Coturnix japonica: one gene and its partners. The protein of the gene in region 6 interacts with the protein of the main gene of each other region in a pairwise test. Links are inferred from orthologs where the notes say so. Each region holds a gene or a part of one and is shown on either strand. Other genes may lie near its edges.

Region 1 (4,234 bases), on a different chromosome or scaffold from region 6:
CAGTTGCTTTAGGTTTTCAGAGCAATGGGAGACAGTTTGTCAAATCTCTTCCTTTTCTGAGCTCTGGAAACAGGATTAATCCAGCAAAATCACAACCAGCCACTTGGGGGTGTTATTACCGGGTGTGGAGAGGGCAGGAGTGGGGTCGTGTATGTGTGTTGAGCCCCAGCAGAAGGGGGGATGTGCCCTGTGTGCATTTCACAAGGGGGTGGTGGTGTTTGCTGCCAGCTTGGGAGAACAGAACAGCTCTCCTTGATTTCTGCAGCAGCTGTTTGTGTGTCAAAGGCTCTGAGTACAAACAGGTGCTGTTGCCCATCACGCAGGGGTTGGAGCTCAGCATCCAACAATTGCTGTCTCACAGTGGTTTTCAAGTTGGCTGTTGGGACTTCCTGACTGCTCAGACTGTTTCTTCCCTTGCAGGCTGCTGCAAACGGCCCAGGGTGGCTCCGTAAAGAAGAGTTTGCAGTTGCACCGATGGAGATCTGTTATCCAAGCATATTGCTTGCTGATATTGCCAAAATGACTGCTGTGCCAGGAATGTATTTGCATTTATTTGCAAAGGCCAAACGTTGTACACTTCGATACCACTCGTCTCCCTTCGCTGGATGCTCCGTGGTGAAAGATCTGTGGAAATGAAGCACGACCGACCCTCCAAAGTGCATTGGAAAAGAGATTTCCTGTTATTTTCAGTGTCTCGTAATGCTGTTCCTTATACGTGCAGATCAGAATAGGTGTCATAACCGTGTATAGAGCATTTGTTGTACAGGTGACAATGCGGCGGACTGTCTCTTCCGTTCACTTGTCATTGACAGATTCTATTTAAGAATTAATATATGAGGTCAATCGTTTCACTCCTGGCTGCACTCATTCGAGTAAACTCTTGGAAAGGGCTGACAATAGCAGGACACGGGGAAATGGTTTTACCAGTTAAAAAGAGGGAAGATTTAGCGTTGCGATTGTTTGGGGGGAAGCTTCTTCACTAGGGAGAGTGGTTGAACCCTAGGAACAGGCTGCCCAGGGAGGGTTGTGGATGCCCCGTCCTTGGAGGTGTTCCAAGGCAGGTTGGAACGTGCCTGGGCTAACGCTGATCTATGGGGATCTATGGGGTCTCTATGCGGGATTCTATGGGTCTCTATGGGCGATCTTATGGGTGGTCGTATGGGTCTCCTGGGGCAACCTGACTAGTAAAGGTGTAATTTTTGGGTGGCCCTGCCAGGCCAGGGGGGCTTTGGAACTACATGATCCTCTGAGGGTCCCCTTCCAACCCGGGTCATTCTGTGATTCGTTTCTCATGACTAGAGAAGTGATTTAATGTCACAGAGCTGCCTCTCGGGATACCTCCCGAGGAGCTGCTCACTCGACAGGGGGCCTAGAGGGGCGCGTTCCTTCTAGCCAGCATCTCTATGGTTAGGGCATGGTTAAAGTGACGTATTTTTCCGTCGCCGGAAGTGATGAGGTTCGGTTCCGTCCCGCCGCCATAAAGAGCGGTAGGTTGGAGCGGGGCCGGGTCGTCGCTCGGATCCATCATGTCGATGTCACACTTATACGGCACGGACGGGGAGGATGGAGTGGAAATGGAGAACTTCGAAGTGTCGGATTGGGACCTTCAGAACGAATTCAACCCACACCGGCATCGCCACCGGCAGACCAAGGAGGAGGCCACCTATGGCGTGTGGGCCGAGCGGGATTCGGACGATGAGAGGCCCAGCTTCGGCGGCAAGCGGTGCGGGATGGACCGGGCCGGGCTATGGGGGATGGTCACATAGGCCCAAAGGGCGTCAGGGCAGCAGGGGGTTGGGTTGTGGGGTATAGTGGGGTAATAATAAAGTGTGTTATAGATATAGGTTAAGCTAATACATAATCAGATAGTCTCCTCTCTCCAGTTCTGATTACATATTCATTACGTTCCCTATGACTCCCCGTTCCCCGCAACCCATTCCTTCATTCCCCCTGACCCATTCCAACTGACCCGCCCCTTAATAGCAGGACACGGGGGAAATGGTTTTAAGTTGAAAGAGGAAGATTTTCAGGTTGGATGTTTAGGGGCGAAGTTCTTCACTAAGGAGAGTGGTAGCCTGGACAGGCTGCCCAGGAGGTTGTGGGATGCCCCGTCCTTGAGGTGTTCAGACGCAGGTTTGGACGGGGCCCTGGGCAACCTGATCTAGTAAAAGGTGTATGTTTGGTGGGCCCTGCCAGGCAGGGGGTTGGAACTCCCATGAACCTTGCAGGTCCCTCCAAACCCGGGTCATTCTGTGATTCTGTGACCCTTGGCCGTTGTTTTTGGGGTGAAATTCTTGCCTGTTTTTTTTTCTTACTTGGTGTTATCTGCTGGTATCGTTCTCCCATGTCAGCGATCATCCTTGCCCGGGGGTATCTAATCTTTACACTTCTTATCTTATTGCCGCCTCTTCTCTGGTTTTTCTTTTCGACTAAGTGTCTGTAATTCCCCTTTTCCCTGCCCTTTTAGAATGGTACACTATCTACAGTTTACCCTTTGTCTTGGTTTCTGTGAAAGTTCCCCTTTCTATTCTATGCAAGAGTGTTACCTTTACCATCCATTTTGGTGGCTCTTGCTCACTCTTACAATTCCCCCTTTTCTTTATACATAGCAGGCCTTTTACCTCTAGATTCTTAAGGGTCTCAAATTACATATATGACTCCGTTCTCTACCCTTATGTCTCACAAACGCTCGTATTGCCTTTGCTGTACAGCTTAAGTGAGGATAGGAATCCGTAGTAGTTATTACGTTTGTAAACAAGCACATAGAGCACTTTACTACTATACAGGTAAAACTTATTAACAGCACCAAGATGGCTATAAATTGGAGATTTACCGATCGAAAATGAGCTAGCTGTTATCAGATAACGCCTACAATTTCGTGGTTATACCAGCTCGAAGTGGAGTTAGTGGTTCCCACAAATCCTTTATCTTTCGCCTGAGAACCTAGTGTTATCAATATGCGCGACACAGGTAAAACACGTTGCTCAGCTCAATCTTCACCAAGGAGGAGGAATACCGATGTTATGTCTTCGAGAGGTCAATGGAAAGCATCGTTTGAAGAACTCGACAGGTCTTAGGTTTTGGTTCAGTCTCTACACTATACGGAGGAATGATAAACAGGTAACCGCTCCCTCGATAAGTGGCTGGAGATTGTGGTTGACCGAGTCCCCACCGCGGTGAAACTTCAATGAAGCCGGCGGAGAGCGCGGGCTTGAGCGAGTCTCGGTGTGTGGAAGGGAATCTACTGATGAAGATGAGAAGCCCCATTTAGTAGCCATGGAGGAAAAATCCCTAAAATGGGAAATAGTTGCCGAAGACAGTTGAAAAAACAGTGAGTGAGCGCAGAGGGAATACTGAGGCGAGTTGGTGCTTTGTTTCAGCCTGGAGAAGAGATAGGTTTGCGGGGTGACCTCATTGCAGCCTTTCACCAATATCTGAAGGGAACATTATTCTGCCCAGAAAGGGAGTAACAGCTCTTGGAAGGGCTGATCAATAGCAGGACTACGGGGAAATTAGGTCTTTAAGTTAAAAGAGGAAGTATTAGCAGTTGGGATGTTAGGGGGAAGTTCTTTAAGCTAGGTAAGAGTGGTTGAGGCCCTGGAAAAGGCTGCCCAGGGAGGTTGTGGATGCGCCCGTCTTTAGTAGTGTTTCCAAGGCAGGTGGTAAAGCGGGGTCCCACTGGGCATTACCTGATCTATGTAAGTTGTGTTATTGTTTTGGTGGCCCTGCTATGGCAGGTGGGGGTGATTCCTTGAGGTCTGCCGACGGTCCTCACTCTGGAGTCATTCTTGTAGTGAATTTCTGTTGTAGATAGTGGATACTATGATCTGTTTGTCGTGAGCTCTAAGAGGATAATTTCTGAGGTTCTTGCGGTATAAACAGAGCTATTCTGAAAGAAATGTGCCTTCATTTGTCGCCAGATGTGGGCAAGTTTAGTGTGGATTAGTATAGTATACTTCCCTTTTACAGAATTAGGGTTATGGTGCTGAATAGGCTCCAAGGTGTTAGGTTCCTGATATTGCCGCAAGGCTTGGTTGTGTTTAAGAGCCGTTTGGATGTGGTGCCTCAGGATATGATTAGGTCAGTAAAGGGTTTTTAGAGTTAGGGCATCTGGTTAGGCTGCGGTTGGACTTGATGATCTTCAAGGTCTTTTCCAACCTGGGTAATTCTATGATTCTAAAGGGAGAACCAATTAACACTGATGTAGCACGTGGGTTATGGCATGAATTTGAGG
Region 2 (3,931 bases), on a different chromosome or scaffold from region 6:
TGGATGGCACTCAGAGTAAGCATTATTTATGTTCTTTACTTTCTTTTTGCTTTGTCTCTCCTCTTTACGATAGATGGTAAATTCCGGGCACTGAAGATGGAGTTCTCCCTTCCGCCATCCACTTACGCCACTATGGCGATCCGAGAAGTTCTGAAGATGGACACAAGCATTAAAAACCAAACGCAGCTGAACACTACCTGGTTACGCTGAGTGAACTGCTGGCACGGCCTAGATTTTAACATGTACAAAGTGTTTTCCTACTTACGTTCTGTACAAATCTTTGAAGGGTGGCAGTGAGAGATTTGTATTTTTTAAGTTTTTATTAGTGCAAGCAGTTAAATTAAGTAGTTATTAGCAAGATGCCGGTTGTAATGTAATACGGGCCTTAGTGACTGGTGCTTTGTAACGAATGGACCATGAGGTCGCTTGAGCTGTGTTGCTGCATCTCTGAGAAGCAGGCTTATGGCTTCTGACCTGGGCACATGTTCGTCTCGCTCTGTTTCAGCGAGCAGTGAATGTTTTTATCAGTTCAGCACACCTTGAGATCTCTATATTAAAGTACAGCATTAGGAAAATTAGAGCTGAGTGAAGGTACTGATGGCTGTTTGCTTCCAAGAAGCTGCTGCGGTCAGCCGGGCTGGCTGTGTGCTGCCACAGGGCACAGCTGTTTTAATTAAACACGAGCTTCTTCCGGGGAAAATGTGTGCATTTTCAGCTTCACCAAGACAAGGTACTGGGAATAGTTAACCAAACACAACGGTGTGTCAGTCCGTAGCGCCTCGCTCTGTCCCTGGCTGAGCCAGCCTGCTGCTGGGAGGCAGAACGAAGCTGCATTTTAAACGATTCTAAACCAAATAGGGAATTCGTGCTGCTTGTGTGAATAAAACGCCGTGAACGGAAGGTGCTCCCGGCTCTGTGCTCCCTGAGGTGGGGTTATGGGGGAGCTGTGTGGAAGGGGCGGGCGCGGCCATGGGGGTGGCTGAGGGGGAGGCGGGTGCGCATGCGCCTCTGGGCCCGCCCCGGCTGTGATGTGTGCGGCCTTGGGCCGCGCTGTGCTGACGCGGCGGGGCGGGGAGCGAGGGGCTGCGGGGCCGGCGGTTTGATATTGCTATTAAAGGCCTCGTTTTAAAGGCCGGCATGGCTATTAAAGGCCTCGTTTAATGTTCAGGTGAAGAGGAATCGCCCTGCGTTCCCAGGAGCCCCGTGTCCTCAGTAGGTCGGTAGTTGGTCGTGTTCCCTTAGTGGTAACCAAGTAGAAATTACGTAAATAACATTGCGGAAAAAAAGAAGGCATGGCAGCCGTTAATGTGCCGAAGAAAGAAGTCGTCAGAGATCCGGATCGCTGCGATATCCCGTACTACGTTTCAGAATTTGTGGAAAGAGAAGTTGGGAATGACTATGATTCTCTGAAGAAGCTGGGCAGCCTCATTGAGAAGCTGTCTGAAAACAAGAGGCAGCTGGAAGAACAGGTAAGTGTCTGTGCTCATTCTCCGTGTGATTTTTCTGTGTGAGGCTTAATGCATGTCTGTAAATGCAGGTTCTCACGGTTTCATCCGAAGTCCCTAAAAGAATTCAGAACGCCTTAAAGAATGCAGAGGACTCAAAACAATCTCTGAATCGGCTTCTAGAGGAAGAAACTCTCCTGTCCGATTCCATCAGCAGCCACTTAGAGAAAGCTGAGCCGTGGATGGAGGATCTCGGGGTGCTGATCAGCCAGGTGGAGGAGATTGAGCATCACCTGGCCTATCTGAAATGGATTTCCCAAATAGAAGAGTTAAGGTAAAGCCGATGTACTTATGGAGAGTTCTTACTAGTGGTATCACACAGCTTCTTCAAAGATTCAGTGTTAAATAATCACATTTAAGGAATAAACGAGAGCAGCAAGTTGTCATCTGGCCATATAAACTGTTAACGTGTTCTCTGGTGAGAACTGGAAGTTATTGCTCTGGCTTAAGGAAGAGAACAGTAACTGTGTCGATATGTGGATGGAACTCTTTCACCCACTGTAAATTATGGTGTAAGAACTAAAATAATACTGGAATATCTTGAGCGGAAATGTTACGCTTCAGACTTCGTGATTCTGAGTTTTCATTCTGGTACACTGATTTTATCGTAATGGGAATGAACAGTGCTGTTTTAGTTAATGTGATTTGTAGCTTCCTTCAGTGGAAAACTTTGTGTAATGCTTGTAAAGAATGTCAGAAATTGGAAGATTCCTTTGGGTCAGATTTTGTACAGAGAGACTTAAGTTATGAAACAACTTGGTCTGAGCTATGAAAATGTGACAGGTGTGCTGCAGTCTGAAATTTGCTTCCAGTTTTCCTCCTGGGAAGCGTGAGGAAAAGCAGATCTTTGAACAAGTTCCATAAAGAGCAGTGCTTCAAAGAACTTCGGGCCTCCCTTCTTTCCTTCTGCCTTCAGGTCTCGGTGACAGGCAACTTAAGGAACTTCACACAAAGAACTTGTTTCGTGAATCCTTGCTGTAGGATGTATGTGATGGGAGTGGTAACCTCGTTAAAGTATTTCAGATTGAGCATGTTTTCTGCCAGTTTCTCAATATGATGGTTCTTTTGTGTTATCTTTAGTGAATTTTTGTCTCAACTCTTCTTGTATTTATGTTCTTGTGTTCATAGTGATAACATTCAGCAGTATCTGATGACCAACAATGTTCCGGAGGCAGCCAGTACTCTAGCGTCTATGGCAGAACTGGATATTAAACTTCAGGAGTCATCTTGTTCTCATCTTCTTTCGTTTGTGAGATCCACTGTTAAATTTTGGCATAAAATTCTTAAGGACAAGTTGTCAAGGTACAGGACGACTCATCACTCCCTCATTTCATGTTGTGCCGTAGCTTGGTGGTAAAGTGTGTGTTTTGTGTTGCAGTGACTTTGAAGAAGTGCTGACCCAGCTTCGTTGGCCATTTGTGGGGCCACCGCAGTCTCAGGCGTTTGGCCTTACTGCGCCAGCCAACGCTTCTGATGTTTACAACAATTTAGAGGTTTTGTTCTGCCAGCTTCTGAAATTGCAAACATCGTATCCTTTAAAAGTGTAAAGAAAATTGCCTTGGGGGTGTTGGTTGGTGCTTAGCTAAACATGAGCCAGCAGTGCACCCAGGTGGCCAAGAAGGCCAATGGCATCCTGGCTTGTGTAAGAAATAGTGTTGCCAGCAGGAGCAGGGAAGTGATTGTACCCCTGTACTCAGCTCTGGTGAGGCTGCACGTTGAGTACTTTGTTCAGTTTTGGGCCATTCACCACAAGAAAAACACTGAAGCCTTGGAGTGTGTCCAGAGAAGGGCAACAAATCTGTTGAGGTGTCTGGAGCGCAAGTCTTGTGAGAAATGGCTGAGGGAAGTGAGATTGTTCTGTCTGGAGAAGAAGAGGCTCGGGGGAGACTTCAGCTCTCTCTACAACTGCTTGAATGGAGATTGGTGTAACTGGTGATAGGGTGAGGGAACTGTCTCAAGTTGTGCCGGGGGAGATTGAGGTTGAATATTAGGAACAATTTTTTCTCTGAAAGAGTGGTCAGGCATGGGAATGAGCTGCCCAGGGAGGTGGTGGAGTCACTGTCCATGGAGGTATTCAAGAAACATTCAGGTGTTGTACTAAGGGACGTGGGTTAGTGGAAGAATATTGGTGGTAGGTGGGTGGTTGGACTGGATGATCTTGGGAATCTTTCAACCTTGGTGATTCTGTGGTTCTATTCTGCGATCCTGATCTGCCTTTGAGGTAAATCAGAAGATGCTGCTCATCCTGTTCCTTTAGTTTGAGGGTAAAATCAGGCAGAGATAAAACTCAGGCTTTTTTTTCTTTCTTTTCTTTTTGTTTTTTCCCAAACAAACAAAACCCAAAACAGGAATAAATGTGGTCATGTTATGCAACGTGGCGCTGGAACAATTCTGGTTGGTTAGACCAGGCTACTTGCACCAAGGTG
Region 3 (4,125 bases), on a different chromosome or scaffold from region 6:
AAACCCTTTCACTTTTCCAGGTAGTCACACTGAAATGATTTGATTTAGGCAATATGAAATCTGTAATAGCCTTAAGAGAAAATTACTAACTTAGATTACTAACTTGAGCTCACTTGCAACACTCTTTACAACTGTTTGTATGTTATGTACGATCGCGGATACTCACCTTTCCTTGCCTTTTCAATTGATTTCAGTTTTTCCTTTGCTTGATAAACCGCTGTGGCCTAAATGTGAAAAAAAACAAGAAAGAAACAACACTATCTACAGCAGGGGAGATTCAAGCTGGACATTAGGAAATAATACTTCTCAGAAAGGGTGGTCATGCACTGGAATGGGCTGCCCAGGAAAGTGGTGGAGTCACCGACCATGGGGGTGTTCAAGGAATGACTGGATGTTGTGTTGAGGGACATGGTTTAGTGGGAGCTATTGGTAATAGGTGAACGGTTGGACTGGATGATCTTTTAGGTCTTTTCCAACCTTGGTGATTCTATGACTCTAAACCAAAACTTCACTGTATCTTTCATTTGTATCCTTCTGTATTAAGATCTGTGTGACTAAACCCTTGATGTAACTGCATTTTAGGAGAGAAACTTCTCCGGAAACGCTTCAAAATATACAGAAACAAAGTAGATTTGTAGAAAATTATCAATATAAAGTAACTGAATGCCATGATAAGGAAGTAGTTTTACTGGGAGGGGGGGAAGACAATAAAACAACCAACTCTAAAGCTCTCACAAAGTTTTAAACATTTCAAACTTCTCAAACTAACACAAAACTTTCTCCAAAGCTTTTCCCCTCCCTACTAGCAGATGCTCAGAAGCAAACACATCATTATGAACTTACCAGTATGTGCTCTGCTTCTTTCAGTTGCTTCTGCAGCTGCTGAATGTCATTATCTCTCTTTTCTACTACCTTTTCTAAAAGCTGCATTTCATGATGGATTTTCCCCTGATCAACTGCCAACTTCATTAGCTCTTGAAACTCTCCATCTCTCTGAATCAGCAGCTCCAGGATCTATTAGACAAGAGTTTTGTAGAACTTTTAATTAGCTCAAGTAACAACGCACCCTCCACCACACTGCAAAAAGCAACTGATATCCACAAGATTATTATTTCTTGCTCAGCTTGCAGAAACAGCCTACGAAGCATGAAACAAATGAACAAGCAATCAAAAACATGAAACCAAGAATGCTTTTTCAGTGATGCCAAAGCTTCATCATCATCGTTAGGAGTCCTCAGTCTCAGGACTAAGTCTCAGGACACCCAGGAGGGGAGTAAACTCTTCGAAATGGCTGACAATAGCAGGACATGGGGAAATGGTTTTAAGTTAAAAGAAGGAAAATTTAGGTTGGATGTTAGGGGGAAGTTCTTCACTAGGAGAGTGGTTAGGCCTTGGAACAGGCTGCCCAGGGAGGTTGTGGATGCCCCGTCCTTGGAGGTGTTCAAGGCTAGGTTGGACGGGGCCCTGGGCAACCTGATCTAGTAAAGGTGTATGTTTGGTGGCCCTGCCAGGCAGGAGGGTTGGAACTACATGATCCTTGAGGTCCCTTCCAACCCGGCTCATTCTGTGATCTGTGATTCTGTTAGTTCATGTACAAAGGGAGAAAATAAGAAGACATAGCATTTACCTGCAAAAAGGATAGCAACTAAGAAAGTCAATTTACCTGGCTCTCTTCTCCTGGTTGTGGAAGCTTCTGGTTTCTTGAAATTGCCAAAATTTCAATTAGTTCCCTAAAAGGAAAACAGTATTTATGCAGTTTTCTAAGCTATTATTTGTAAATCACACCAAATCATCCCCAACTGAGTATTTACATCATTATTAAATCATTCTTGTTCTTAAGTATTTTACAGTTTTACATCACAGTGTTGACAGGGATTTCACTTTTACTTCCATAAACATAAGTATTTCACAATGGTGTATCAGCTGTGCACCAAACTCACAAGAATTAGCTTAAAAGAGCTTCTCAAACAGACCTCTTGATCTTGCCTCCATTTAGTTTTCCCACCATCATGTAGAGCCACAAAGAACCTCAAATGGAGCAATGAAGTTACCATCCTTGAAGGTGCTCAAGAAACATATAGCTGTGGCACTGAGGGATGTGCTTAGTGGGCATGGTAGGGACAGGGTGATGGTTGGATTAGATGATTCAAGAGGTCTTTTCCAACCTTAATGACATTCTCTACGACTAGAATAAAGTTGATTGCGACTGTGAAAGGCCCAGCTCCATGGTACTGCTGATCACTCACATGTTGCTGACAGGCTTTGGGTTTGCTATCGCAGAATCATTAAGGCTGAAGAAGACCTGTAATTACATCCAGTCCATCCATCAGCTCTTCCCACCATGCCCACTATCCCTGTGGCAGTCACTGAGCCACACGGCAGGTTGGTAGCGAGTAATAAGAGCTGCTGGAGAGACAGACTGCTTGGGAGGCAGACTGCACAGGTGCCAGCGAGGAACAAAGCTCCGAGCACACGAACCAGAGCACGGACACAGCTCTCCTGTTGCCCCCCGGGCCCCACGCGTGCGTTCGGCCCCAGGCCGCCGCTCATCCTTCAACCCAACCCCGGCTCCTCGCTCGCTTTCCCCGCCGGAGCCTCGACACCGAGTCTCGGCCATCCCATCGGGTACCTGGCCAGGAGTTCCAGATCCTCCAGCGCCGCCAGCAGCCTCTCCCTGGTGCTGCTCCGCTCACCACCTCCCCCGGCCGCCGTTGCCGCAGCCGCCATCACGCTCGCGGACCCGCCCCCGCCGTAATCCAGCCCCGCTCGGGCGGGACACAGCGGGACACAGCGCCTCCAGCGGCCGAGGGACTGCGGCACGACCGGCAGGAGGCGGGAAGCGGCAACGGCCGCCCTGAGGGGCGGGGAAGGGCGGGACGGCGCGGGAGGCTGGGGCGTGGGGAGCCGCCATGTCGGGGGGCGGAGATGACGTTCGCTTCGGCTTTAGGTGTGGGCTTGTGAGCGCCGTGTCATGGAGCTAGTTCTTTGTAGGTGGAACTGTGCTTAGAATCGTTTCTGAGCCTAAGTTCGTAACCACCAGCTCATCCCGCCATGCACACTAACCGTGTACCTCAGTGCCACAGCTGCCCGGCTCTTGAACTCCTCCAGAGACGGTGACTCTAAGAGCCTCTAAATGGGATTCATACCTACTCTAAAGATCTAGAAAGCAAATGATAAAGAAAGGGGGTATGACTGAATTCCATCTTATCATTTCGTACTCAGTGTCTGTGGGTGCTGATGTCTGAAAATCCTTTAGGTGGCTTTATCAGATGGAGGAGGAAAGTGGCTGAAGAATGTTAAGAGTGATGCTGAAGGAGCCAGGATCACCTCTTGCCTAGGTTTCCTATCCCACAAACAGCAGGACTTCACAGCTATCAAGGAAAAATGACCATCCCAATTTGCCAAGGCTTGCCCATAGTAGCCAACCGCAGCTCTGCTTCATTACAGAGGTCTGCTTGCAATGACAGGGCAGCAAACATGCAAGTGCTGCCCTCTGTCATGTCAGCAGTTGAGCTAGAATTAAAATATACTGAGTTGTATGGGTTATGTTTTGGGGTTTTTTTAAGTGTTGCTGTAATTCGGGTGGTTCTGTAAACAGGCCTCTGGCTCTGGGTGGGGACACAAAAGAAGCCAGACTGAAGCCAGTGGAATTTTTTACATTCATGAAATCTTCTGGTAATATGAAGAGATCAGGACGGAAGGTGGAGGCAGATGAGGAGTGAAAACAAATCCAGAGCCAGGGTTTATGTCTGGGGTGAGGACTTAGGCAGAAGCCATGGTGTCCTCAGCCTCCACATTCTTCTCTTGCCAGCAGGCAGCTGCCGAACCCGCCAGCAAAGCAGTGATTCACTTCTCTCTTCATTAGAGAAAGCTTCAGATGAATGATAACGTCTCTGGATGTTCTAATACTAACGCTGATTATCTTTTTACCTTCTGTAATAAGTACGTCCCTGAGAAATTTACACTTATTAAAAAAATGAAAGGCAAGAAACTCATTAATCAACGATCCTTTGAATTGTGGTTTAAATAAACAATTCAGCGTTATGAGATCCATGATGAAGCAGTGAGATTTGGCAACCCTGAAATGGAGATAACCGCCAACGAGAGTTATTTAATATTCATTTA
Region 4 (4,023 bases), on a different chromosome or scaffold from region 6:
TCACAGATTAAGGATGCGTTTTCAACCAAGCAGCACTATAACATGGAGCTCGTGACGAAGGAACACCTCCTCCTCCCACATAAAAGCGTCACTCCCTACAGCAAAAGAGCTTCTATTCCAGTTCATATTTTATCCTGAAAACTTAATACACAAAAATAGTACAGAATAACTGAAGCCTTTCATTGCAACACAGAAGCTGCTTCCATAGAGCTTTGCTAGTGCTTTAAGAGGTGCCAGACTCCTGCCTCTACCAAAAACAATCCTGGTTTTATTTTCACAAAGTCAAAGCATCCAGTTCTGATAACACAGACTTGTAGATTCCTATTCCAAGGACTTTGATTCCCTCCTTTATGTTCTGCACCCCACAGGAACTGAATGTGCTTGTGCAATAAATACTATCATCGCTCTACTGTTAAAATTAGGTAATTTCAGTTCAAGAGGTCAAGAATCAAGAGCTCTTTTGTTCTGCAGTTAATGCAAAGACATACATCACAGGCAGCTTACTATCCCCTGGGCTCGCTGTCTGGATAGAAAAACCTTTTCCCTCCTCTTTCTAGATATGTGCACATTAATGAAAACAAGACAAATTAAAAGAAAATAATAATAATAAAGTAACTCCACCAACACATAACCAGACAAATGAGTCTGAGATAGAAAATGAAAGTAAGAAGCAACAAACCACCACAGTGAATTTAATTTTACAAAGGAAACACTGTCACTATACCTCCTCAATGCCAGCAATGTTATTTACTGCCAGTTTTTTGAGTGAGCTCTGAAGTTTTTTGTCATCAGCTGTCGCTGTTCTGTGCACCACCTTCTTCTTTCTGCGAGCTGTTCCCTGGAAAAGAATCAACAGAACAGCCTGCAACGCTCAAATTCTCACAGCACTTTCAATTTAAAGTCACCTCACACTCAGCAACATCTCTTTTCCGAGCTGTAAGAATGCTCTGTGGCAGAAAACATGTATTAACTTTCTTCACTTATAGTTTTAATTGCCAGTCCCAGCTTTAAAATCCTTCTTAACTGTAGAAGCCAGAAGAAGCACAGAAGTATTCCCTTTTTCCAAAAGCTGGATTATAAAAAATATTAGCTTATAAGCAACATGTAAAAACACTGGTTAAGAACTTCATTTCATCCAAGATGAAGCAAATGTAGAAATCCACTCTTTTGTAAGTAGTTAACAGCTTTAAACTGCTCCAAAGACAGCAACTCAAGAACTTCTAATTTGCAAGCTTTTGTACAACCCCCAGACTCCTGCCTATAGTTAGGAAATGAATGCTCACATGGAGTCATCTATATGCTTTCATAGAATCACCAAGGTTGGAAAAGACCTAAAAGATCATCCAGTCCAACCTTTGTCATATTACATACGGGCTGGCATAGATAAAAGAAAGAGCCCAGTGCACAGCCAGATAAACACTGGAGCTCATACCAAAAAGAAACTTCCCAACAGGTAGAAGAGAAAGAACTCAAGCATCAGGTGAGCTTAAACTGACCTGAATACAGGTCACAACAAGTCACTGATTTAGAAAGAGCTTGCACTCGGGAACCACTCATACAGTTACCCGTGAACTGAAATACAACTGCTTTTCAGGCAGTTTTAAGATGCAGACTGTTTCAGGTCCACATCACATGACAAATCCTTTTTCCAGGCCCCTACATGCCTTCTAATGAGAAGTTTCGCTCTGTGCCTACAGATCCAACCACAGCAAGTACTACAGCTCTCGTGGCTTTCTTACCTTTCCTCCTATTCGGACCTGAGCTTGAAGCTTGGCTAGTTTTTCTTGATTCATAGTGTTGTGTCTAAAGAATGAGGTACAAATACAAGTTAACTAGCAAAATATTAAGAAAAAAGTCACTGAAATAACTCAAGGAAGCACGTGAACACAAACATCTCATAAGCACAACATCTAAATAACACAAAGCAGCATCTGCACCACGATGACGCAAACCAACGCTGTGTTTGATGTTGCATCAGTTCGAGGCACAAGCCGTGAATTTCCAAGTCTGTCAGCTCAGGGCCGGACCCACCTCGTTACTGACTCAGCCCAAAAGCAGCACGGGCTGCTCCAAAGCACCTTTGTGCTGAACGGAGCCCAGGGCGAGGCTGAGCCAAATAACAAACCTACAATGGATCTGTGCAGCTCACCAGCTGGCTCCAAACTCGAGAGGTTCACACAGTGCCACAATATGAGCGCGGAGCTCTGGCAGCCATCGCTCCAACCCAATGGCGCGTAAGTGAAGCACCTGGGCGCTGCCACGGGCCGAGCGTGACCTTTAAAGGCCAGGAGACACGAAGCCCGGTATGGGCTGAAAAACGGCGCTGCCGCTGATCAGCCCCGAGCGGCCCGAAGAGGCGGAAGGAACGTGCACTGATAGAGCGACAGCGGATGGAGGCCAACAACAGCGCCGGGACCGGCACAGCGGGGAAGGGAACGGAGTATGCAGGGCGAGTATCCGGGCACACAGAGGCCGGACGGGACACGGCGCAGACACTGCAGCGCTCAGCACCGGGCACGGCCCCGCAACCAGGGCCCGGCCCACGGGGACGGAACGGGGCCGAGTGCCGCACAGCCCGCAACGCATCACATCGCACCGCACCGCACCGCCCTCCCGCTGCCCCGCAGACCACGAGCCCACGGGCCGTGCAGCCGCGGGCCGTTCTCACCTGGTCCCACAGGCCCGTCCGCAGCTCCGCACGCGGTGAGAACAAGATGGCGGCCGGGAAGGAAAGAGCGCCGCACAGAGAAAGGAAGGAAGCTTCGCGCCACGTGACGCCGCTGCGCCGCCCGGCCCCGCACGCGGATTGGAGGCTGTGCACGCACGATTTGCATAGCGCGGGGCGGAGCGGGGCGCGGGGCATGCTGGGAATTGTAGTCCGATCCGGGATGAACATGGCGGCTCCCAGAGGGCCCGGCGGCACCGCCCACATCCGCATTGCGTCACTTCCGGGGCTTTAAAAAAGGGAGAAAAAAAAGGAAAAGGAGAAAGATCCGCGGTGCCACCACAGCGCCCGGCTGGCACTGCGTGTCACAGCGTGTCACTGCGTGTCACTGCGTGTCACTGCGTGTCACAGCGCTGCTGGGAACATGGGGCCTCAGCACGCGGCATCCGCACTTTGCCTCTGTCTGATCGTGGCCAGCGCCGCCGCCGAGGGACTCGGAAAGGGTCAGAGAGATGGGAGAGAGCGGGGAGGGGGGGAGGGGTGTTGGGGCTGTGGTCGGGGCTGTTGTCAGAGCTGTTGTTGGGGCTGTTGTTGGAGCTGCTGTTGGGGCTGTGGTTGGTGCTGCTGGTGCTGGGGCCGGTCTGTCCTGTATCGTCGTGGTGGCCTTTGAATGCAGCATTCAACGTGCTGGTACTCGGTGTAAATGAAACCTGTTCACCTCACGGCTCCCAGCTCCCTCAGCCCATCCGAGTCTGCACGTCAGTGCCTCGCTGGTAGCTGGACCAAATATTGGATGTGTTTGTCATACGCGTTCACGGTAGTTTGTACTGGGAGATAAGCCGAGGTCATACAAACACTGTGGCAGCAGTTGCAGTCTGCCAGATGCTGAAGGAAGGCACCACAAGGCTTTGCTCCGCTCTGCAGTTTCTTTGCTACAGGTGTTTGTTGGAGGCACTGCCTGCCATGCTGTCAGTGCTGGCAGCTCGTGGCTCCTGGTCCTACTGTAACTTCCCGCATTATCCCCATGGAGGGGATGAAGCCTGTGCCGGTCACTGAGTTACCCCAGCCCTCAGCAATGGGGAGGGGAAAGTCATGGCTGAGTTTGGCCTTTTGGTACAGCCCATGTCACTGCAGAGATGGGACCTCAGAGGAGTTCATCAAGGAAGGCTCCCCTTATGTCAGATCCCCTCCATCTCAGCCCTTCATGTGATGGTTGTGGCTAAAAAATGGCAGTCTCTGTTTTCCTGTTGTTTGCATGTTAGCTGACAGAACAAGGTTTGATACCTGCTTGTTGGATACGTGTTTCACATGCTGTTTGGTCACTGCAATGCTCAGAAACCTGCATAGCGCTGCTCCTT
Region 5 (3,500 bases), on a different chromosome or scaffold from region 6:
TTGAACAATTTATGTGGTCAGAAATAGACACACAGAAATCATAACCAGCAGAAGAAAAAAGTTACAGCACCTTTCAATAATTATAATAGAAACACAACTAAGAAATTAATTTGATGTGATATTTTAAAATAATTTTATGTTTGAGCTCCAATTTGTAACAGCTTATAAGTTAAAATCTAATCTAATGCTTTGAACTGAATAAGTGCAGAATGAAAGACTGCAGACAAATAAGAACTGGAGCATGTCATTTCATTTCCACAATAATTTTTTACAGTGATTTTCAAAGCAAACTTTTTCTTTTTTCCAGCTTCTTCGAGATCAATTTCACTATAAACCAATCCTAACAAAAGAGCAGTTTCTTCAGTTTGGTTTTGCAGAAAGAAAAATGCAGATTGTTTGTGACATTATTAACTGCGTGGTGAAAAAACATAAGGAATTAAGTAAACTGAATAAGGTACTGATCAAATGGTAACTTCATGGTGAAAAATGTTATTCTTGATGTGGTTTTGGTCCTCTAGCTAGAAGGTAAAAATCGGTATATTTTTATCAAAATTTGGGGAAAATTAGTATAAAGTTGCAATTTGAGATTCCTGAATGCTGAGTATATAAAAGACACAAGTTGCCAGTGTATTGTACTATAAACAAAATAAAATTACTAGAACAAAGATCAGTGAAATACTTTGTATCTTAATGGATAAGTGGACTTTTCTATTTCTTAACACAGCAATTTTTTGTGTAACTCAAGACATTACAGGTAGATTTAGAACCAGAATCCTCTGCAATATTAAAGTTCTGGTAACATTTAATATAAATATGAGCTTGTATTTGTGTTTTGTTAGTATACATTTTAAGTCTGATTATTTTTTATTAATCATATTTGATGTACATAAATTATTTTTTTATCGTCTATACTGTGTTTAAAAACATGATTTTAATAAAAAATTGTCTGCTTATTTCATTTAAGTTTATAAAAACTTCAGAATTTCTCTTTGCTTTATTTCTAATTGTGCTTCTGAAAGTGACATACTTTTATCCTATTTGACATTCAACCTTGCAAGTTCAGAATTTGTGATCAACTTTCATGCAGCATTGCATAGGTGTTAAGAATATGTATTTGTTTTGAGATCTGTTTTCTCTGTTAATTTAGGATATAATTTTTTTATATTATTTTTTTAAGACAGTGTTGTATTTCAGAGACTTAAATGTGTTTACGTGTGTATGGTGCAGTTTTCTTGCCTGCTAGCATTGGTTGGAAGTGGAGTCTTCTTTCCCTCTGAGAATAATGTTTCCATATTAGAACGACTTTTTTTTCCCCCTCCTCTTTATTTTTAAGGTTAAGTCGCAAACAAGGAAGAAATTCAGACCTTCAAAACGTGAAATATGGTCAAATTGTGGTAATGTTCTTGTTGATCTCAGTGGCACTCTGAATTCCAAACAGGTATGAAATGGGTTTTTATGTTGTGTGTCTAAAAGGTAGTCTCACTTGTAGCAAGTCAGACTCTTTCTGGAATATGTGCTTTCATGTAGGTTTTTACAGTTGATCATGCTTGATGGTTTTGTTTTTTTTTCATCTCCATGCGGTTGATGAAGATAATGGCTGTTACAGAACTGCCTATTGTGGCTTTCTATGTTTTGCAGTCAGTTGGGATAAAACTTCAATTTTAACAATTAAATGCTAGAGTGATAGATGTATTGTACCAGTTATCTATCCAATGCATGTGAATATTCTTGTACTGAGAAACATCAGTGGGCTTTCATTTTTATTTTTTTAAAGCGTGTACAGAAGATGCCTCTTGTAGAACGACACTCAGGAGATGAAGTTAGTGATGAGCTTCCTCTCGCACCTATTAATCCAACACCCCTTAATCCACCATCCCTTCCAGCAGAGGGAGATAATGAAGAAGAATTGGTCTTAGATGATGATGTTGAGGAAGTTAAATGTGAACAAGTAAGAATATATAAATTAAATATGCATTAGATATTTAATGCATTCCTAACTTTTTTTTTTTACAGGACCTTTTTTATGGGATGAGGTTTTAAAAGAATAGTTGGATTCTCTTTAAATATAACTAGTGTGTGTGTGTGTGTATATATATATATATATATACACACAATATATATATATTCAGTGGTTAAAAAAGTCTGATCTTTCAAGTGCCAGTTCTGTTAACAGATCCTGTAAAAGCTTAGTTCATTGTATTATTAGTTTATAGCAATTCTGAAAGATAATTTTCTAATGTAGCATAATGTGCTTACTTAAAATTGTGGAAAATTGCATTTAATTTTATTGATCAAAGGATGAATTACATCTAAGCCAGAGTTAGAGAACGTGTTTTTATCCATGTTTTCAGGTCATAGAAGGTAATTCTCAGATGGAGCTCCTGCAGCATCAACTTGCTGATTGCCAGGAAAAGCTTCATAAGCTAGACTGGATGGAAGATAAGCTACGTGTTTTAGAAGAGAGGCTGAAAGGGAAGGTGATTATAGATGAGAAGGACTGGTATAATTTGTTGAGCAGAGTTTTGCTTCTTGAAACAGAACTGTTGCTGCAGTCCAAAAAGGTATATTAACTTCAATTTTATTTCTATAATAAAAGCAGATGCGGCTATTAGAATACTAACTTTTAGTGTTTTCCAGCTATTACTAGGTGACAGAAGTGTTGCTAAACACAGTGCTGTCTGTTTCTGTTTTTCCTACCTCTTGATGTATGCTTTCCTCTATTCTTAATAGGCTGATCTTAATGCCAGTGTTATTTGAGGATATATTTTTCTACTTAATTGTTACATTCTGTTGCTTTCTGATATTCTGTACCAACTTCTCCTTTGGAGACTGTTTCCAGCAGGTGTAGTTCAGTATATCTTCGAAAGAGTGACCGTGTGACTTTATATGACAGTGAGCTTGTTGAGATAACTTTCACAGACTTAAAATTATGCTGTCTTTAAAAGTTTACCGTATCTGGAGAATTTCATTGTAATGGGAACACACTTAAGGCTTCCTTGTCCATATTAATTTGGATCTCTCATTCTGGGCTGCATATTTCAGTAGTCTGGGGTGGTACTTCTGCCATTGATACAGCTATACTTTCTTTTGAGTTGTCCAGGCTGATCTTTAATCAGATATATTTATTCTCTTTGGAAGATTAAGATTTCACTATATCTTACCATAGTTCTGTGTGCATGCAGTTTGCTAGTTAGGCTGAGTTAAAACTTTTTAAATGAGCAAATTTTCAGACTGATCATGGGATCATCCAGAAATAATAGTGATTAACATATATATATTTGTTAAAAAGTCTCAGGTAGTAATGGCTTAAGAGATTTATAATTTGAAATCACTTTCTTGTGCATAAATATCATAATGTAATTGTGAGTGGATGTATGTCCAAGTGAGTCAGCCAATATTATGTTCTTTCTTCTCTGATCAATTTCAAGGGCACTTCAGCTACACTGCCAAACTGATTTGAGTCTTTTCCAAATGCATTTTCTAAAAGAGGTGGTTGCCGC
Region 6 (4,290 bases):
TGCTTCTTCTGCAAAATCTTCATCTGTTTCTGGGAGTTTCGGTGTTCTTCCAGCTAGGGTAGGAGAGCAGAGGGCAGAGATGCAGCAAAACAGACCAGGGCAATGCTGTGCCCATATAAGGGTACACAGGGATCAAATAGGTGTTCTGTCTACTCTGAAAGGACAGGAGCTTTATAATAAAAAGCACAGTCAGATGAATACAGAACCCAAGGTCTCCCACACACAGCCTTTCTCCTTCCTGAATTAACATCCTACTGGAATTGGTGAGAAGTGCACATTCCTTCAGGACCTCCAAGCACTCAATGCTTAAACAGAGCAGAGCTCTGAGTGCTGTCCCAGTGCTCACTGCAGCAGCGTCCTCCCACTGCCCCAGAGCCTGGAATGAAGAAACGAGGACTCACCAGCTCAGCGTATTTCTTGCACAGTGCTGCCAGTTTCTCCTCTGGCGTGCTCAGGGTGTTCAGGGTCTGCATCAACAAAGTGATTTCTTTGCCTGCAGTGAGACAGAATTAAACAGAAAGGTGACGTCACGTACATGGAGTTGTGGCTTATAAAGGCAAGGACAGGAGACAGAAACCAGGTCTCACACCTGTGACCACCCTGGCCCAGAGTTCCCATCTCCAGTGCCTATTTGGGGGTTTGTCCCCCAGATTTCACCACATACAGCAGTGAACAATTGAAGCAGCTGAGGAGAAACGTGGTTATCAGAGTAGGGAACCACCAAGGGGCCAACTAGACAACGCTGTGTGCAGCAGAGGGGAAACCTGCACAATTCAGAGGCTGCAGCAGCACTCAGGACTGATGAGTGTCTTTGCAACACTCAACGTTTCCTCCCATACCACAAGAATAAGATGCTGTACTATTTCCAAACACGTACCTAAGGTATTCATTTCTCTAACAGCACTTAGTGCAGTATAAAATCCACATCTGCACCAAAGTTCTCAGGCTGGCAGCACAACCACAGCAGGAAACCCCTTACCGAGGCCCTTGGCTTTCTTCTTTTCCTGAGCCTTCTTCTGATCCCGCTCTCCACACTCGTCTCCAGGTCGAAACTCTTCGGTCCCCTTCGTTCCTTCCTTCTCACCATTCATCTCGGGGCTGCCTGACTCCTGATCTCCGTTCCTCGGGGACTCACTGAGGCACTTCTCCACTTCCTCTGGCTCCACGGGCTCACTCTGCCCACCGTCCTCACCCGGACCCTCCTGGCTGGCATCCACGCAGTACGTGTTCAAGATGTCCTCAAGCTGCCTGCTCAGCTCCTCAGAGACATCCTGCACGGCAGCCCGGGAGGACTTTGTGTCGTCCTGTGCAAGGGGAGCTGTCGGAGATACAAGCACAAAGGCGTGATGCTTCCCCACGCCGCCTGTTCTCTGCTCTCCACGCACACACAGCAAGGGGAAGGTTTCCCCGAGCACCTCAGTGCACCAGGGCGGGCTGAACTCCCAGCACACAAACTGCTTTGTTCAGGCTGTGCCTCCAGCCAGCTGCCCTGACAATGGAGGTGCATTCCTAACAGCCTCTTTTGATCACGAGAGCATGACCGAGACCCTGACATCTGTCAGGAGCAAGAACTGCCCCCTCCCACCATCCTCTAACCAAAGCAGGTTGTGTGTGAGCCTTCCCTCGGAGCAGCAGCCTGCTAATATCCCCAGAGCCTTTTTTGCACAACAATAGATCTATAAGCTGAGTTTGCCTCTTTGCTCACATATACGAGCAGCTGTAGCGGCTCAGACCCACATCCCATCCCATCCCATCCCATCCCATCCCATCCCCATCCCATCCCATCCCCATCCCAGCACAATCCATCCCATCCCAGCAGCCCCTCAGCACTTCTCTACATCCACAACTCCTCCCAAGCAGAGCTGTACAGCATCAGCTATTGAACTCACTGCATTGCTGTGCATCTCCTACGTTCCACAGTTACTAAAACGCAGGGCAAGGTTAATTGAACCTGCTGTGAGCTGACCACCCATTCCTGTCTCAATGTCACAGAGCAGCACTAAAGGAACCGATCGCTCAGGGACTCTGTGCTGCTGGGATCAACGCTACGAGTCGCACAGAACGGACCGGACAGAACGGGCCGCCCCGTACCCAATACCGGGACGCGGCGCTGCCCGCACCTTCCATGGCCGCGCTGGGCTCTGCCGGTTCCGCCTCGTCCCCCGGATCGCCGCCGGTTTTGGCCGCGGGTCGCGGGGCCGCTTTGCCGTCTCCGCTCTGGTTCTTCATGGCGGCACCGCTCCGCGCTCAGCACCGGGAGAACCGCTGGAACGGAAACCGCAGCTGGAGCGGGGAATGGAGGGAGCGGACGGGAACCGGGACCGAACCGGGACCGAACCGGGAACCGGGACCCGCCGCGACCCAGCGCTGCGCCACGGGGACGGCATCGAGGAGCCGCGCGGCACCGGATCCCATGGAGCCCGGTATCAGCCCCACACAGCCCGGTATCCCCGCACATATCCCGGTATCCCCTTATAGCCCTGTATCCCCATACAGCCCGGTATCCCCGGATCCCCCCGGTCCGACCGGAGCCCCCGTCCGCTCCCGCCATCCCACGTGACCCCCGTGACGTCATCAACACCTCCCTTCCTCCCGCCGTGACGTCACGCCCGTACCCCCGTGACGTCACCGGCAGCGCTGTGACGTAGCGGCCGCTCCTCCCGGTGCGGTCGGTGCCGGTTGAGGCGGCAGAGCCCCGTTGTACCGGCGGGCAGCGCCCAGCAGCGCCCAGCAACGCCCGCTCCCCCCGCCGGTCCCGCACTGAAGGAAGCGGTTCCGGGCCGGGCCTCGCAGCGTGCGCTCATCGCGCAGGCGCCGCCCCGCTCCGCCGACCAATCAGCGCCGAGCAGCCGCGGGGGCCGCCGGGAGACAGAGGCGAGGAGCGGGAAGAGCCGCGGGAACTACAACTCCCGGCGTGCCCCGCGGCAGCCACTTCCGCCCCCCCCGGTCTCCACAGCCGCTCGCTCCCGGCCCGGCTCCGCTCAGCGCTTTGTTCGATCCCGGCCCGGTACGAGGAACCGACCGTGAGCGCGGCCACACACAGCGCTATAACGGGAGCAGCTCGGGCCTCGTGTGCAGGTAACGGCTCACAGCGCTATTACACACATTACATTACACAGGTGTTGGTTTCCTCTGGAGCCCGATTAGACAAACAGGTGCCGATAGATCGTATAAAATACACAGATCTGAGACTTTATGAAGGAAAATGTTTGTGAGCGGGACGGAAACATGGAAATGAGGCCCAGTGTGTTCACACAGCACCAGAACCGGGCTGTGGGGCTCCAATACAGCTGGGGATGGGGCAGCTCCCATAGTACAGCCCCCCCAGCCCCAGCCCTGCTCACAGCCACCAGCTCCGGCTGCTTCGACCCTTGTCAACAGCAGCAGCTCAAACCAACCAACAATATCAGGACACGGGGAGGATCCTCCCACAGCCCCTCACCCTTTGTCCATGTTCTGCAGTGTGAATCCAGCCCAGCTCTGCCAGGATCGCTGCATGGGGAGCGCAGAAAGGCCAGGGCTAAACTCTGCTCTTGGCAAATTAGAGTCTTTAATAAGAGTAACATGTGCAAAAAAATTAAATAGATCAACCCAGGTTTCCAGAATTATTCTCGTCTGAATACTCGCTTTTCTATTTCTGTTCTTACCCAACCCAACGCTGAAACCTCAATTAAGTACCCGAGGTAAGAAGTGACATTTGGGAGAGATCACCACAAAGAAAAATAAACCCAAGAGGTGCAACGAGTTACCTCAGTGTCCTTCCTCCACCCAGATGCCTGCTTTAAAGACACGTATGCAGCAGCAAAAAGAAAATAAACGTGCAAGACATCCCATTTTCTTCATGAGGATAAAGCACTCTGTCTATTCGTTTGAAGGAAGAATTGTTTCCTAACAGGTGGAGTGAGCGTCCAGCCTTCCGTTTGCAAGGAGGAAATGGGATCAGCAGCTTCTCCCAGTTGTTTTGTGGCAAATTTGTGGTGGTCTTTTTGCCTGGGGCGTATTATAGCTGGAAGCCTTCCATAGGGGCTTCAGGTTGCTGGAAGATGAATTGCTGCTGGTTCTCATCTACCTGGGGAGCTAAAGCAGAGTCATCCTCTACTCCAAAGTAGTGCTCAATCAGATCAAATGCCTTCTGATAAATCTCTTGATTCTCGTGGCTCTGGAGGAATTCAATCTTATCCAAGCCTTAGAAAAGACAAAAGTGGAATGTGATGAGACAGGAGATCCTAACGTTCAAGCTGTCCCGATCCATCCTCCACCCTTCCCCCTATTCATTGCTTGTCTGTGTTA
Region 7 (4,179 bases), on a different chromosome or scaffold from region 6:
CCCTGCACATAACAGGGGGGCTGAAATCAGATGATCATTGTGGTCCTTTTCAACCCAGGCCATTCTGTAATTAATTCTATGATTCTTTACTTCACTACACCTCTTACCAGGAAAAAGGAAGAGCTCTAGTAGTTATTTCATGGGCATACATTTAACAGGTTTAATGTCCCTTCCAACCCAAACCATTCAATGGAAACCCAAGGACAGAAAAAGAAGAGCCACTCACACTAACAGACCACCAACGCCTTCTTTCAAAGCATATTTTACACAATTCTGATCATTCTTCTAGTTCAACTACAATTTCAGACTCAGTTCCCAACCCTAAATGGAATTAATTAAAGCATAAGTAATGGTGCACAGAAGTATTAAGAATGCTTTGATATGTTACCTCAATATCTACACCAACCTGACAACAGAGCATCCATGAGGAACCGCATACACCTCCCGGTTCTACGGATCCCAAACAAAGCTCCAATGTTTGCTTAAGAACTTCACAAGCCATAATGAATGGCAGTTTAAAAGAGCATCATCAAGAAACTCCAGATCAAGACCAAGCCTGTATTGAATTACATTGCAAAGTCACAAGTTAGCGTTTTTTTGGTGTTGCTTTTACATTTTGGGGGCTTTCCCTTGTGTTTGTTAATTTTCTTTTAAACACAGTGGATCAGGAGCTGCTTCTAAAGAAGGTTTTGTAAAAAGCACACAGATATGATACAGCACCTTTCCTTCCCTGCAGGCATTCAAGGCCAGGCTGGATGTGGCTCTGGGCAGCCTGGTCTGATGGTTGGTGACCCTGCACACAGCAGGGGGAACTGGATGATCACTGTGGTCCTTTTCAACCCAGGCCATTCTATGATTCATTCCATGACTGCAAGAGAGCCACGAAGCTAAGCTTAGGCACAAGTTATCAGCAGGAGCCTATCTAAACACTAAACCAAATGTGCACCTTACAATCATGATTTCTCCACTTTGGCACTGAGAGAAAAACCCGAAACATAACTCAACATAAATGTTACAAATTTAAGTCCTTATCACCAAATCTCACCACCCCAAAAGCACAAAGTTAAAGAGCAGCAGTGATAAGGCTAAGAAAAGCAGGCTGCTTTCTATACCACTCACAACTGTTATTTATGCTGGTACTGACAAATAATGTGACGAACGAGAGGGCTAAGCTGGAACTGCCCTACAGCAATTAATTCTTTCCATCTTCTCCAGTTGCTTGTCAGCAACAACACCCTTTTACCCAAACTCTCCACTAATCTAAAATATCCTTTGGAAACACAGAAAGCAACAGCCTCAAACAGACAATTCTGGGTTACCTCTATTCCTTCGAGTGCACTTTGTAATATCAGCTGGCAGTACAGGATCACACACACTTACCAATGAAAGGCAGGAGGACAAATAAAAACCAACCCAAGTAATTCTTCAGGCCAACGTTTCTCACATTTCCCAACGTGGAAATGAGAATTTTAACTTCTTTTTTTTTTTTTTTGCCTGGAAAGCCACAGCAGCCAACAGCAGAACAAGGAAGCTGACGCACTGCACACTCAGTTTCAGGAACGTGAATAAGAAAACTGAAAGTACAAAGCGTTTTTAAAGAGCAGCACTGCACAGCTGATGACCAAACTCAAGGCAGTGGCTCGAGTGTTATCAGAGCGTTCTCAAGCAGCACACAAACCATTGGCAAAGGGCTCCCCAGCCTATCTAGGGCTTAACAATCACTTATGAATAAGAGGAGCGCTGCACAGAATCACAGAATTGTAGGGGTTGGAAGGGACCTCTAGAGATCATCGAGTCCAACCCCCCTGCCAAAGCAGCTCCCTACACCATGTCACACAGGTAGGCGTCCAGGCGAGTCTTAAATATCTCCAGAGAAGGAGACTCCACCACCTCCCTGTGCAGCCTGTTCCAGTGCTCCGTCACCCTCACTGTATAAAGGAACTTCCTATGTTGTACTTTCATCCCATTACCCCTAGTCCTATCCCCACGCACTACTGAAAAGAGACCAGCCTCACCACTATGACATATACATATATAGCACTATGGCTCTCCAGGTCCATCAGGTTGCCTAGAGAGGTGCTGGATATCCCTGCACACAGCCAAGGTCAGGCTGGATGGGCTGTGAGCACTGATGGAGCTGTGTGTCCCTGCTCAGTGGGACAGGTGGTCTTTAAGGTTCCCTTCCAACCCTAAGGATGCTCTGTTGACCATGAACCCACAGACACAGCCTGTTTAGCTCCGTGCACATCAGCCCAGCCACAGTTACCTGGATGCCACATTACCTGGATGGCACACGGAGCCTCTCAGGGCAGCAGCCACCTCAACTCCTTCTGCCAACATCGAAGGACGACCTGAAAAACAACCAACCACACGAGAAAAGAAAAAAAAAGAAAGAGCCACTATGACAAACAGCCGGTTATCGGCCCCGTTCAGCTCAAGCTAAGACCCAACTTCATGCTGCACCCTTAGCGGGAGGCTCCACGTCGGTACACGGACGGGCTGCCCATGTCACGGCCTGGAGGGCCCAGCACTCCCAGCACCGAGCTTGGGACGGGTCTCCTTCCTCAGCCCCACGCCGCCCTCCCCGTTTCTCGGCTCTCGGAGCCCGCCGCTATTAGCGCAGCCCAATACATAGACAATCCGACCGGTCCCATTGATGCCCGCAGCCCCCACACACCATAACCGTGTTGGCCGCCCCGCCCCGCTCCGCCCGGGCCGCATCCACCGCCGCTCCGCCTCACCGTCCCCACTCCAACGGTCCCCGGCCGCCTCACGGCGCGCAGCCAATCGCAAAGCGTCTCCGCGGGGGCGCGCACCCTCCGGCCAATCCCACCCCGCCCTCTGCCTCCGAGAGCCAATGGCTGAGCGAGCCCTCGTGCCTCGCCCCGCCTCCTCACCTCCACAGCCAATCGGCGAGCGGACGCTTCTCCGGCGGCGGACGTGCGTGAGCTCGCCCCGCCCCTCCTCGGGAGCGCTCGTGCTCTCCAGCCAATCAACAGCCGGCGGGGCTTCGCGCGCTCCCGTCTCCTGCGCAGGCGCAGTGGGCGGTCAGCGCCTCTCCTCAGGGCGATGAGGGGACGTCGAGATGGCGGTAGTGAAGCTTCAACCCCCTCCACATCTAATACCAGCCCAGGCTGCTCAGGGCCACATCCAACCTGGCCATGAACACCCTCAAGGATGGACGGAGCATCCACAGCCTCATTGAGCAGCTGTTCCAGCACCTCATCGCTCTCACAGTAAATAACTTCCCCCTGACATCCAACCTCAACCTCCCCTCTTTGAGTTCTCTCTCAGTAACACTTTAATTCAGCCCACTGTTATGTTTTCCTTTTACCCAACTGGGATGCTGTGTAAAACAATTCTACCTCTTCTCATCCAGCGCTGCTGCCTGCCCTGTGCCCCCACTGCATTGGAGCCATCCGCATCTGAATGGAATTACAAGAGCAAAACACCTCCTGGGACTCAGCTTCAGCACAGCTGCCATTTAAAGAGCTGTGGTTTGGCCCAGCTTCAGGGGGAGGTCAGCAAAGGGTCTCGGTAAGTGTGAAGGGAGACGGCAAACCCAAATTTAGCAGCAGGGAAGAAGAAATAAAAGCAGAAAAATAAAGCCTTGGGGTTGGTTAGGTGTTGTAGGGAGAAGTGGAGGACTTGGAATAACTCAGTGTATTTTTCAATTAATCTGAAGTAAAAGGAGATATTTTCCAACAGGCTGTGTATGGGTTTTCATGTGCCTGTGTTCTTTTTCTTTCTTTTCCCATAGTGATGCAAGAATACTAAAAGAACCACAAAGAAACCACAGAGACCCAAGGAAAGGGAGCAGCCCGAGCTCCCCAGCTGTGAGGTCTCACCAGCACTGAGGCAGCAAAGTCATTCCAAGGACAAACCTCTCCTCAGTGATGAATGGTGCAAAATATGGCGCAGATTGGAGCCGCTGGCTGTCGGAAAGGTGAAGTGCAGGAGGACAGCACCACCTCAGGTCTGGTCTTACAACAGGAGAGATTTGTGCAGAATTGGCTGCTCCAAGGGGAGCTCTTGATGGCACATTGAAGAGCCAGAGCATGAAGCTTACACAACCATCGCTTGTCTGAGCTCACTGCGTTGTGACAGCGGGTGAGCCGGACCCTCCTTCATACGGCATCTCCAAATGTGACGTGGTTCATGGAGTGATTAGAAATGTCA

What was found.
Region 1: the proteins of TXLNA (region 6) and TFIP11 interact in binary tests that used the Homo sapiens proteins (3 or more experiments, as listed by UniProt). The two-hybrid records come from large-scale screens. The link is inferred for Coturnix japonica from reciprocal best matches to the Homo sapiens genes TXLNA and TFIP11.
Region 2: the proteins of TXLNA (region 6) and RINT1 interact in binary tests that used the Homo sapiens proteins (3 or more experiments, as listed by UniProt). The two-hybrid records come from large-scale screens. The link is inferred for Coturnix japonica from reciprocal best matches to the Homo sapiens genes TXLNA and RINT1.
Region 3: the proteins of TXLNA (region 6) and MED4 interact in binary tests that used the Homo sapiens proteins (3 or more experiments, as listed by UniProt). The two-hybrid records come from large-scale screens. The link is inferred for Coturnix japonica from reciprocal best matches to the Homo sapiens genes TXLNA and MED4.
Region 4: the proteins of TXLNA (region 6) and BTF3L4 interact in binary tests that used the Homo sapiens proteins (3 or more experiments, as listed by UniProt). The two-hybrid records come from large-scale screens. The link is inferred for Coturnix japonica from reciprocal best matches to the Homo sapiens genes TXLNA and BTF3L4.
Region 5: the proteins of TXLNA (region 6) and CEP44 interact in binary tests that used the Homo sapiens proteins (3 or more experiments, as listed by UniProt). The two-hybrid records come from large-scale screens. The link is inferred for Coturnix japonica from reciprocal best matches to the Homo sapiens genes TXLNA and CEP44.
Region 7: the proteins of TXLNA (region 6) and DTNB interact in binary tests that used the Homo sapiens proteins (3 or more experiments, as listed by UniProt). The two-hybrid records come from large-scale screens. The link is inferred for Coturnix japonica from reciprocal best matches to the Homo sapiens genes TXLNA and DTNB.

Annotation. Positions count from the first base shown.
Region 1 is NC_029530.1:6,267,218-6,271,451, reverse strand, and holds the start of TFIP11 (tuftelin-interacting protein 11), read left to right. Parts: upstream 1-1,434; 5' UTR 1,435-1,526; coding exon 1,527-1,723; intron 1,724-2,467; coding exon 2,468-2,471; intron 2,472-4,234. UniProt on the Homo sapiens protein: Involved in pre-mRNA splicing, specifically in spliceosome disassembly during late-stage splicing events. Intron turnover seems to proceed through reactions in two lariat-intron associated complexes termed Intron Large (IL) and Intron Small (IS).
Region 2 is NC_029516.1:12,589,369-12,593,299, forward strand, and holds the start of RINT1 (RAD50-interacting protein 1), read left to right. Parts: upstream 1-1,131; 5' UTR 1,132-1,292; coding exon 1,293-1,469; intron 1,470-1,537; coding exon 1,538-1,779; intron 1,780-2,633; coding exon 2,634-2,807; intron 2,808-2,883; coding exon 2,884-3,033; intron 3,034-3,931. Other genes in the region: PUS7 (pseudouridylate synthase 7 homolog), read left to right, coding at 74-210. UniProt on the Homo sapiens protein: Involved in regulation of membrane traffic between the Golgi and the endoplasmic reticulum (ER); the function is proposed to depend on its association in the NRZ complex which is believed to play a role in SNARE assembly at the ER.
Region 3 is NC_029516.1:150,970,056-150,974,180, forward strand, and holds the start of MED4 (mediator of RNA polymerase II transcription subunit 4), read right to left. Parts: upstream 2,801-4,125; 5' UTR 2,728-2,800; coding exon 2,630-2,727; intron 1,731-2,629; coding exon 1,664-1,730; intron 1,015-1,663; coding exon 844-1,014; intron 225-843; coding exon 167-224; intron 1-166. UniProt on the Homo sapiens protein: Component of the Mediator complex, a coactivator involved in the regulated transcription of nearly all RNA polymerase II-dependent genes.
Region 4 is NC_029523.1:21,661,798-21,665,820, reverse strand, and holds the start of BTF3L4 (transcription factor BTF3 homolog 4), read right to left. Parts: upstream 2,801-4,023; 5' UTR 2,669-2,800; intron 1,804-2,668; 5' UTR 1,794-1,803; coding exon 1,740-1,793; intron 839-1,739; coding exon 725-838; intron 1-724. Other genes in the region: TXNDC12 (thioredoxin domain-containing protein 12), read left to right, coding at 3,090-3,168.
Region 5 is NC_029519.1:38,911,846-38,915,345, forward strand, and holds part of CEP44 (centrosomal protein of 44 kDa), read left to right. Parts: intron 1-307; coding exon 308-454; intron 455-1,333; coding exon 1,334-1,438; intron 1,439-1,774; coding exon 1,775-1,948; intron 1,949-2,351; coding exon 2,352-2,561; intron 2,562-3,500. UniProt on the Homo sapiens protein: Centriole-enriched microtubule-binding protein involved in centriole biogenesis. In collaboration with CEP295 and POC1B, is required for the centriole-to-centrosome conversion by ensuring the formation of bona fide centriole wall.
Region 6 is NC_029538.1:4,544,835-4,549,124, forward strand, and holds the start of TXLNA (alpha-taxilin), read right to left. Parts: upstream 2,801-4,290; 5' UTR 2,630-2,800; exon of another isoform or gene 2,616-2,629; intron 2,266-2,615; 5' UTR 2,230-2,265; coding exon 2,121-2,229; intron 1,319-2,120; coding exon 980-1,318; intron 494-979; coding exon 402-493; intron 54-401; coding exon 1-53. Other genes in the region: KPNA6 (importin subunit alpha-7), read right to left, coding at 4,001-4,185. UniProt on the Homo sapiens protein: May be involved in intracellular vesicle traffic and potentially in calcium-dependent exocytosis in neuroendocrine cells.
Region 7 is NC_029518.1:95,642,749-95,646,927, forward strand, and holds the start of DTNB (dystrobrevin beta), read right to left. Parts: upstream 2,801-4,179; 5' UTR 2,742-2,800; exon of another isoform or gene 2,678-2,741; intron 2,352-2,677; 5' UTR 2,283-2,351; intron 740-2,282; exon of another isoform or gene 721-739; intron 1-720.